Linked DNA regions of Nothobranchius furzeri. The protein of the gene in region 1 interacts with the protein of each later gene in a pairwise test. Links are inferred from orthologs where the notes say so. Each region holds a gene or a part of one and is shown in the gene's direction. Other genes may lie near its edges. The genes, in order: ankrd40, pin1 and ahcy.

Evidence for each region.
Region 2: the proteins of ankrd40 (region 1) and pin1 interact in binary tests that used the Homo sapiens proteins (3 or more experiments, as listed by UniProt). The two-hybrid records come from large-scale screens. The link is inferred for Nothobranchius furzeri from reciprocal best matches to the Homo sapiens genes ANKRD40 and PIN1.
Region 3: the proteins of ankrd40 (region 1) and ahcy interact in binary tests that used the Homo sapiens proteins (3 or more experiments, as listed by UniProt). The two-hybrid records come from large-scale screens. The link is inferred for Nothobranchius furzeri from reciprocal best matches to the Homo sapiens genes ANKRD40 and AHCY.

The regions. Positions count from the first base shown.
Region 1 is NC_091752.1:53,186,045-53,190,384, forward strand, and holds the start of ankrd40 (ankyrin repeat domain-containing protein 40), read left to right. Parts: upstream 1-1,509; 5' UTR 1,510-1,723; coding exon 1,724-1,854; intron 1,855-2,159; coding exon 2,160-2,308; intron 2,309-2,478; coding exon 2,479-3,108; intron 3,109-4,248; coding exon 4,249-4,340.
Region 2 is NC_091744.1:9,176,982-9,179,835, forward strand, and holds the end of pin1 (peptidyl-prolyl cis-trans isomerase NIMA-interacting 1), read left to right. Parts: intron 1-1,586; coding exon 1,587-1,696; 3' UTR 1,697-2,311; downstream 2,312-2,854. UniProt on the Homo sapiens protein: Peptidyl-prolyl cis/trans isomerase (PPIase) that binds to and isomerizes specific phosphorylated Ser/Thr-Pro (pSer/Thr-Pro) motifs.
Region 3 is NC_091743.1:74,933,153-74,936,808, reverse strand, and holds part of ahcy (adenosylhomocysteinase), read left to right. Parts: intron 1-1,425; coding exon 1,426-1,501; intron 1,502-1,609; coding exon 1,610-1,762; intron 1,763-3,656. UniProt on the Homo sapiens protein: Catalyzes the hydrolysis of S-adenosyl-L-homocysteine to form adenosine and homocysteine. Binds copper ions.

The DNA.
Region 1 (4,340 bases):
TGATGTGCTGGTGAAAGCTAAAAGATGTAAAGTAAAATGAGTCAAATATATTTTAAGTGCTGCACGAAACTGATCTAGCCATGTGATCTGTAAGCTCTTTTAATCACTAAGGAATGTATTTTTTATTGATTGATTATTATTATTATTTTTTTTTTCAAATTTTCAAGTACACTTCAGGTGTTGCACTTGCACCATTTTGGATACACTGTCCTCTGGCTCCAGCCTTGTTTTATATTGGTTGTATTAAAACAAAAAAAAACAATCTGAAGTTGTTTTTAATTTACCGGTCCGGCCCACTTGGGACTAGATTTCTCGCAATGTGGCCCCTGAGCTAAAATGAGTTTGACACCCCTGATCTAAAACATGTTCACATAAAAATTCTGAATTAGGCCTACTTGGAATCTTAGACAAGAATACATTGACACCCGATTGGGCACTGGCGAACTTAAAACACCACTGCCATTTTGGGTAGTTTCCTCACTCTTCAAACCAAACTGGAGCCAATGCAGCTGGGCAACTATGCCTGTGTTTTGTGCAACCTACGCTGCAGCAACCAGAGCACTACTGAAAACAGATCATGTGGAATTTCCATTGACATTGCTAGCATACCTGTTGGGATTTAATATATTAGTTAATTTATTTTGTTTGATTATAGTTATATTTTAATTACCATGCCATACTATATCTCTGATTTTGTGAAAAAGCGTAATAAAATGGGTTTTCTTCAGTTAAGTAAACACAATCCTCATGTGGCAAGGTGGAGAAACGAGGGCCCGGGCAGGATTTGATCCCCAGACTCCCAGGTGAGAGTCATGTGTGCTAACCAGTCAGCCAAAGGGATATCCCCTTGGCCAAGTAGCCAGGGCGCATGATCAATACTATTGATTCAATAGACACTGTGACAGGACGCTCACAGAATTAAAAGCACCGGGGAAAAAATGTGGACCTATCCAAGATGGCTATCTGCTGCAACACCCCGGCTCCAGTCCATGCTTGTAACCGTTCGGAATGTAATGCCCTCCTGTGGACATGATTGAGAACTGCAGCATGTTAGATTAATTTGATCGAAATAAATACAATTAAGTGGTGCACATTGGCGAGACCTTACTGATATAGCTATATTAAGTATAAACATTGTTACAATTATTTTGAATAGTTAGAATCATTTTCTTTCAACCATTTCCAGCGTGATGGAAGCAACACGTGTGTTAATTAAATACATTCTTTATTACAATTTTTTTTAAATTTTTAATCTTGTTAAATAAAAGCGCTCATTTTTACAGTATAAAAGTTTTTTTTAATTGGAAATTGAAAACAAGTTATTTTAAGAAAGATGAGGGTGGGAACTCTTAACATTCGTTCGCTCTGTTGTCACATCCTAACATTCCCCACCCCTGACCAGGTGGCTGTGGTGGTGTTTGACAGCACTCTGGTGGAGCCCCGTCTCCTCTGTTAGGATTAAGCGAGTAAACGGAGGAACGCTGGTGGAGCGGTAACACCAGGAGTAAATGATGAGGACAGAAGTCGCTGCTTAAGGGCCGAAAGCCCTCAGAGTCAGATTAGCGGAAGCAGTTTGCTGTTACAAGCTAACACCAAGCTAGCCCAGCTGGTTAGGTTAGCCGGGGACAATTTGGGGGAAATTCTTGGATAATTACAAACTTAACCAGTTGTCTAGGCATTTATTTAATCATATGATATCACAACGCTAGTCGCTTTGCCAAAAATGTCCACGACTTTGGATAAAGAATTACAGGAGCGCCTGAGAGAAGCCTCAGCCATCGGAGATATCGACGAAGTGCGGTCACTGGTGGAGAGTGGAGTCAATGTAAACTCTCAGAACGAAATCAACGGATGGTGAGGGTTGCCGTTCAGAAGTCTGGCTTAAAAGAAGCCGAAACTAATTCGAGTTGTTTTCGGCAGCGTTGTGTAGCAGTACAGGGATTAAAGTGGGCAGCGTTATCCCTTTAAGCTCAGAGCTTGTTTTAACCTGTTTCGCGCTTTTTGTCTTTCTCTTCCAAACCGGAAGTGGCTTTAAATTGGTGTTGGACACAGACTCACTACTACTCTCTATCTGAATAAGCCACTAGTTTGTTGACATGTCTGGAGATTTTAATCTGTGTTTTGCTCATTGTTGAATAAAGTTTGTCTTTTTCCAACAGGACTTGCTTGCACTGGGCTTGTAAGAGGAACCATAAGCACATAGTGTCCTACTTACTCAGCTGTGGGGCGGATAAAGAAATCCTCACCGCTAAGGATGAGCTGGCCTCACAGTTAACTTCCAAACCAGAGATTAAGCAACTCTTAGGAGGTATGACTGCTTCTTTTTTGTTTAATCAGTTGTCTTATATTTTCTTCTTATCAGTTCCTACTGATATGTGAATTACACCTCTACTAACTTCTCAGTGTTGCATCATTTATGACTTTTCCAGATATAAAACAGACATTGGTGTCAATCATCTTTGCTCTATATTTTCACAGTTGAGGTGGAAGAAGTGCCTGAAGTCAAGGAGCCTGAGTTGCCAATCATCCCAAATTATCTGTCCAACCCGCCCTTCATGTATTCCAAGATGGACAACAAGTCTGAGATCATCCAGAGTCATGCACAGAACGGCTCTAGAGAATACAGCGAAGACACTCAGAGTGATTCAGCTTCCCTTTCCTCAACAGATGAGCTTCAGAGGTCCCAGAGTATGGTCTCTGGTGTCTCCACTCCACCAAATCCTACTGTTAACCACGGTCAACCCCCAGCTAGTGAACTTATTCCCGATTCTGAACAAAATGGTGTGTCCTCGTCTCACAGTCATGCTGTTGTTAATCGCACCGTGCCTATAGACCTGTCAGTGGAGCCTCATCTGATCGGTCATGCTGATTACCCCCATGTTGTGGCACACAACGGTACCGTGAATTCCCCTTCGTTGGCTGCAGCATGTCCAGGACTGGCTAGCAGCAGCAGCAGCAGCCAGGTTCAGGCCCCGGTGGCCAGCACTAACCCCACCATGAGCAGGCAGCAGTCCATTCCACATCAGCTGAGCTACAGCCAGGGCAATGCACCCATGCCGGCCTTTCAGCCCTTCTTCTTCACCAGCACCTTCCCTGTCAACGTTCAAGGTGGTTTTACTGTGACATTTTTAACTCCTATAACTCATTATGCAGGAATTTTTGCATTGTGGTTGACTCTTCATATGAATGGAGATTAGGGCTGTGCGATCTGATGATGTAAGATTAGGGATTATGACGATTTTTCAAAGCTCGGAGATTGTAGAACCGTCTATATTTGCGATCTATATCACCCGTTTGTGCCGTTATTCCTGGACACATCACACATTTGCCTCTGTTGGCCATAGCTGTCAGACATACCAATGAACCAATAAGAGCAAGTTTTAGGCAGCGTGTTTGTGTTTAGCTGAGGAAAATAATCTAATAATCGATGCATTAAGATGCAGACGTCGTTGAAGAAGCACACCATAATCAAATAGCGCTAGCCTCTAGCTTGGTCCATCTCTAAGCGGTTATGTATTCTCATGCATCTGCTCGATCAGGAAACCTCTGGGTCAATTTTCTCTAAACTTTGCGTTTGGCTTTGTGGCTTTTATTATTTGGGGATGTTACTTTGTGTTTGAGCGAGCCTTTGCACCGTGGCTGCCGATCAGAGTTTAGTTTATCCCGTCTGTGTGGAGAAACAGGCCATGCCCCGCCCCCACGTAATCAGGAAACAGCTATGGAGAGCAGTGAGGGCAAACTAGCAGGATCATCTGAGTAGAAGATACAAACACATCACAAATTTAGCTTAACATGATAGTTTTTTCTGTAGTAAAATTAGGAATTATAGGATATGAGCCACCTCTAAATAGAATTTAAATTATTTTTGTGTAATTATAAATGTCAAATTAATAAAGGTGCCTGTGGGACATTTGAGACACGTAGCTTTAACGCTTACATCTCCAATCTGGTCCGGGAACGCCTTGGGGTCCTGCCGGAGGAGCTGGTGGAGAAGGCCGGGGAGAGGACAGTCTGGAGCTCCCTAGTTGGGATGCTGCCTCCGCGACCCGGACCCGGATAAGCAGAGGAAGACGATGACGATATCATCCACCCCTAACAGCGATGTAATGCAATTACAGCTGTTGAAAAAGGACAGTCGAATAACAAGAGTTGATCCAGTTTCACAACAAACTTAAAACCAGAGGCCAGCTCTCTCCCCAATTCCGCACACGATGTCTGACAGAGGTGTCCCTGTTTCTGTTTCTTTAGAGTTGGTGCTGAAGGTTCGAATCCAGAACCCAAACGCCCGAGAGAACGACTTCATCGAGGTGGAGCTGGACCGTCAGGAGCTCACCTACCGC
Region 2 (2,854 bases), on another chromosome or scaffold:
CTCAATTTGAGAAATTCTCTGCCTCCTAATTAGAATTCTGTGCAACTAGCTAGCTAGTGTGAATGTAGGCTTGAACTAGTTTACTAGTATACATTTATGTCCTCACTAGTTAACTAGTTTGGACAATGGATGCATCAACTAGGTAACTAGTGAGCCTGCTACAATCAACTAGCTAGCTAGTGAGTCATTAATGGTTCACTAGTTAACTAGTGGCACTGCCCTACTCCAACTACTTAACTAGTTAGGAGTTTTGCCTTCACTAGTGAACATGTGGACACTTTGAACTGTCACTAGTTAACTAGTGAGACACAAAAACCTTCAACTAGCTGACTGGTATGCATTTTAGCCCTTACTAGTTAACTAGTGAGCCATTTTTGTGTCACCTAGTTAACTAGGAAGCCAAAATGTGTTCACTAGTCAACTAGTGGGCATTTCTTCTGTCACTAGTTAACTGGTGTGCACATTTTGGCCATCACTAGTTAACTAGTGAGACACAAAAACCTTCAACTAGCTGACTGGTATGCATTTTGGCCTTTACTAGTTAACTAGTGAGCCATTTTGTGTCACCTAGTTAACTAGTGAAGCCAAAATGTGTTCACTAGTTAACTAGTGAACATTTCCGTCTCCCACTAGTTAACTGGTGGGCTCATTTTGACCCTGACTAGTTAACTAGTGAGACACAAATACCTTCAACTAGCTGACTGGTATGCATTTTGGCCTTTACTAGTTAACTAATGAGCCATTTTTGTGTCAACTAGTTAACTAGTGAAGGTCAAAATGTGTTCACTAGTTAACTAGCGTGTACAGTTTGACCCTCACTAGTTAACTAGTTGACCTGTTGACAAGATATCAGAATTAATGCTCAAGCGGCTGGCCAAATTGGGCAAAGTTAACAAGTGGGATTTTTACATTCAGTAGTCAGCTAGTACGAGTTTTTGTACCTTACTAGTTGACTAGTAAAAACTAAATGTGTTTTAACTAGTTAACTAGTGGACATTGATCTGTCCACTAGTTAACTAGTGAACACACTGAGCAATACTAGTTAACTAGTAAGATATGAAACATTTTAACTAGTTAACTAGAGAGAATTTAGGCCTTACTAGTTAACTAGTTGACATTTAGGCTGTCACTATTTAACTAGTTGACACAAACATGGCTAACTAGTTAACTAGTGGACAGAAATGGCTTACATGTTCATGACAATTCTGGCTGATATCCTGATATCAGAATAAATGCTCATTTGGCTTGCCATACTCAGGAGATCGAAACTCAGACCTCTTTTTGCTATACATTCATGTGGATGCCTTGGCTGAAGAGCACCAGTGAGAGTACCAGATAATGTTTTACACCGCTGCAGCACTTCCAGCATTTTTTCTATTTTCAACACTTTGGGGGTGTTTTTCATAAGGAAATAACAGCATAACATGGTCATAAGCTTTTAAAAACCATACCGAGAAATAAAAATTCCATTAAATATCTTAGAAAAGCTCCTACGTTGAAAACAGGTCATTAATGCAAGGTCAGAATGAAAAACTGTGAAACATACTAGGACAATTATTTTCTCTAACACAACATTTCTGTTTCAGGTCAGATGCAGAAACCTTTTGAAGACGCCTCCTTTGCTCTGAAAGTGGGAGACATGAGTGGTCCTGTTTTTACCGACTCTGGAGTCCACATCATCTTACGCACGGGCTGAATGCAACACACACACACAGCACCACCTTCTGCTCTTAGAATGACAGAAAAACAAAGGATAATTAAATGACACTGAAATGCAATGAGCGTTTCAGATATTCCTGATTACTTCAAGCTTTTAATAACCAGAAAACGGCCGGCATATATGAACATTATTGCCTGTTGTAATAAATGCCCTCCAGAAACACTCAGCAAAAATGAGCTAAAGCAAAATGCTAGAATCGGGTCGTGCATGTCAGAGTGTTATGTTTTTCTGTAACAGGTTTCATTCCTGCTGTTGGTGTGTGCCTAAGCAGTAATCTAATCTGTTTTTGTTTCTTTGGTTCTGTTTAGAAGGTTTTAAAGACAGTTAGGGTGAACAAAGTGTTATTTTACATTCTTTACTCTCATCACATGACTTTTTAGTTAAACTTTGTTTTCGGCAGAGATTCAGAAATCTTCATTTCTTTTTTTGGGTTGATAATGTGCATGGTCTGTTCCCCCCGGACTTATCAAAAGCTTGCAGGTTTTAGCGTAAAGTAAAGGCTTTTATAGCTTTAATGCTCAGATGAACTGTTACCACTGTTGTCATTGGGGAATACAAATAAAAAATAATAAAAAATCTGTTTCATTTTTATTAATTTTTTTGTCAAATTTTTTTATGTTACGTTTCAGGTTTCTAGATTCCTAAAAACATTTAATCCACACAGAAATATGCCTGAGTATTGTAACAGAAAAACAGATTGAAACAAATAAAAACAAGGGGGTTGGTGGAAAACCTTCCCAGATAGTTGTGTACTGAGTCGTCTGCTTCAGCTCTGTGATATTTTGTTAACATTTTACAAACTGAGTGTATTGTCACTTGTCTGGTTCCTGGTCCCAAATGACTTCCTTGTTGGATCTCCTCCAGCTAGTGGACCCCTCGTCCCCCAAAATAAATCACTGACATGTAAAGCGAATGACTGCTAACTGAAGCTAATTCCAGAGCAGTGGCAGATTTTTCTGAATACGGGGCCATCAAGGGGCCACGATACAGAGGGGCTAAGTATTAGTCCAACATCTTTACACAAAGTTTCCTATCTGGCTCTTTAGTGTTTGGACTTGAAATTGCATCCACTTAATTTCATTCCAGTTCAACATTATTATTGGTGCATTGAGATCAGTTCATTATTCCTATGTA
Region 3 (3,656 bases), on another chromosome or scaffold:
AGCTGCTTTTGGCTTGTTGTGCATAAATGTTTTGGTGAGCATTCGTGTAAACCTTAACTCGCATGTGGAGTGCTGGAGTTGGATTGTGGTAAAGGGGTAAAGGTGATTTGGCCCCGGTTGTTGATGATCCATTTGTTCCTGTGGTAACTAAACTCTGGCTGTTTTAATTCCTTTGTATTGTGATGAAGGAGCTATTCCTCCAAGGTTATTTAACCTTTTCCACAGTTCCCTTTGACACAGCGCCAGAGTGCATGAAACAGCCTCAAGGTCATGCATTCGCTTCTAAACTGTTTACTTTCCAGCAATGAAGACAGAAGATGAAGAGACTCTTTTCTTTTATTAAATCAAAGAACTCTATTTTCAATAAAGCTAATCAAAACAACTGTTACTGTAGTCAATAATACAATGTGACCGATCTGTGAAATCACAATATTATGATTAATGTTTTTAATAAGTAAATGACTTATTCTAGTTCACTAGACACACTGAGGTAAACAATCACATGACACATTGCTGTACTGATCCAATCAGAACCTTCCTAGTCTGATGCGTGGCAGAGTCTCTGTGGTGTTTATAAATCTGTCAGCTTTGATTCGTCCAGAATCAAAAACATCCAGATTAATATAACAGTTCCAACGCCATCTTAAGTTCAGTTCTCAAGATCTCGTTCTCAAGATCCCATGAAGTTCACCGTATGTTAAGTGAAGTATTGGACTGGCCATCTGTACTTCTCTTTTTAAGCTGAGAACCATTCAAGCTGGGAGAATTCTGTTGCGTTGTTACCAACCAAGCAACGGTACCTTTCAGAATAAAAGCTGAACTCGCTGACCCAAGGAGGGTCCCCTTTTGACGCTGTGAAACACCTGTCGCTTTTTACCTGGAGACTATCCAAAGACTGGTTTGTCGTACTGTTGACGCTGTTCCATCGGCTCCAGTACCAGAGGAGGGTCTGTGGACCTGGCATCCAGATCTGTACGGAGGTCTCAATTCTGAGGGTATGTGGATGCGACAATATGGCGTCTCATGTGGTTATGAAGCTACTCTGATAAGTTAGGAGCAGAACATCATCTCTCACTCAGACTTTGTTTTTCCGGATACGGGGGTTCTGAATGACACTCATTCACCACACACCAACCATCTCACACCTCATTCAAACAGAGCATCCATCATTAGAGAGTTAGTCTTGTTAAATTGTTTAAAATTGTTTAGTAATAAATTTCCTTAAACATTTGAAGGTCTCTCTTCTCTTGTCTCTCAGTTAATACAAAGTGTTGTTTAAAGTCCCTGCAATAAAAAGATCCAATCTTCTGATTTAAATAACCCAGTGTCCATAAGATGGATTTCATACTCGATATGAATTTTTAATGTCTTATGGTCCTTAATTAAATGTAATTGACACTCATTACACCTTCTCTTCCCCTTCAGGTCCAGTGGTCCAGCTGTAACATTTTCTCTACTCAGGATCACGCTGCTGCAGCCATTGCCAAATCGGGCGTTCCAGGTAACACATGAAGTTTGGTGAGGCCTTCATTGCTTCAAGTCTGCAGCTATAAAGCAATGAAAATGCTGAAGAAGAGATAAAAGGAAGTAAATGTTGCCATTTCTGTAGTTTACGCGTGGAAGGGCGAGACGGATGAGGAGTACATCTGGTGCATCGAACAGACTCTGTACTTTAAAGATGACAAGCCCCTCAACATGATCCTGGACGATGGAGGAGATCTCACCAATCTGGTCCACCAGAAGTACCCCAAACTACTAGCAGGTTGGTTTCATTTTCTTCTTATGATCCTGCTTGCATTATAAGTGTTTTGTATAATTGTTGTTTATGAAGGGCTGCATGGTGGTGCAGTTGGTAGCACTGTTGTCTTGCAGCAAGAAGGTCACAGGATTGAATCCCAGCTGCAACCTTTCTGTGTGGAGGTACCATGTTCTCGTATATTTGTGGGGTTTCTCCTATTTCCTCCCACAGTCCTAAAACATGGATGTTGGGTTAAATGGAGACTAAATCGTCACTAGGCATGTGTGAGTGTGTGATGGTTGTGTGTCCCAGTGATGGACTGGAGACCTGTCCAGGCTGCCTCTGCCTTGCTCAATGACCACTGGAGGTAGACGCCATATAGATAATAGGTAGGGCTGGCGTCATGGGCTAAAATCAATATCATGGTATATTGGGGAGTTCACCTCAATAACTACACGTGTGGGCAAAAACAAAAGTCGTCCGCCAGATGGGGCGTGTTCGATAGGAGCCAGTTCTGTGCAGATTATGCAGATTACATCACCAGTGATCGGTGTGCAGTGCATGCTGATTAGATTTGTGTCCGACTTACGCCGACTTGTTCTGACATCACGCCTACGTAGGCAACGATGGCCTCGTGATCTCAAATTTGGAGCAAGGCGCTGCAGTTGCTTTCCGTCGGCTGAAAAACCTGGCTCTCGTCTGATCGAAGATCTGATTGGTTCCTATTTTGATCCAAACATGCTGTGCTAGAATGTGAGATGGTCATATGTAATCTGTAAATCATGTTAGGTTGATGATGACCACTACAGAGTCATATCTTCAGATGCACATGTCTAGAATATATCTACAAGCATGTGAGGATGTGTTTCAGTTGCTAATGGGCACCAGAATTTTCCACTATTATGAACACTAACGCGATATCTTCAGCCATCGTCACTCGCTACATGTAGGGAAACGCGTCAGACTTAAACGCCGGCTTTCAGCCATTCCTCCTGCTGCGTCCGTCGCTCTCGTCTCTTTTCCAGGCGAGGCGCTGCTCGTCTCGAACAATCAATCGGCTTTTATTTATAAAGCGCTTTCCATCATCCTGAAGGGAGACCCAAAGCGCTGAACACAGCACAAATAAAACATAGAAACAAGACACCAATAAAACTAGGATAAAAAAAGAAATGGTCAATAATGGCAAACAAAGATAAAAACTATTAAAATCACCAGACAGGTTAGATGAAAGCCAGATGATAAAAATGAGTCTTCAAGCGACTCTTAAAGCAGCCAAAGATTGAGACAGCTTCATGTTCAGAGGTAACTTGTTCCAGAGGGGCGGGGCTAAAACAGAAAATGTCCTATCCCCATGTGTCCTGGACCTGGAGCGAGGAACCAGGCTATTGAGTCACGTTGTCATGTGACTCAAAGTGGTACAGCTTCTTAAAGGGACATGAACGTCACCAATTTACACGTCTTTATATATTTTTTTAATTTGAAATTATTGACATGGGAGAAATTATATCGGTTAGTCAGAAATTACGATAACGATAAATTTTTGATTAATCGCGCAGCCCTAAGTATAAATAACGGATTTATCGAGTCTATTACTCACCTGGTACCAGAACTCGTTCATTTTTTGCCTAATCTGTTTTCCTTCATAAAGAATATCGTCCAGAGTCCAAATATCTATACATCATAAGGGAAACCGTTTTTTTTTTTACTGTCACTCTGAGTTTTTCATGCAGGCGTGAACATGAAAATAGATTCATTCACCCATCTCCTGCATTAGGATTCGAAAAGCCAGATCTGTCACTCTGTCATTTAAGATTCATGGGCTCACCCATCTTGACTCATGACGGGGGAGAATGTGTTAGCATTAGCAACTCCACCACACAGCAGAACTCCGTCAGGCTTGTGTTATTTTTGGAGATAA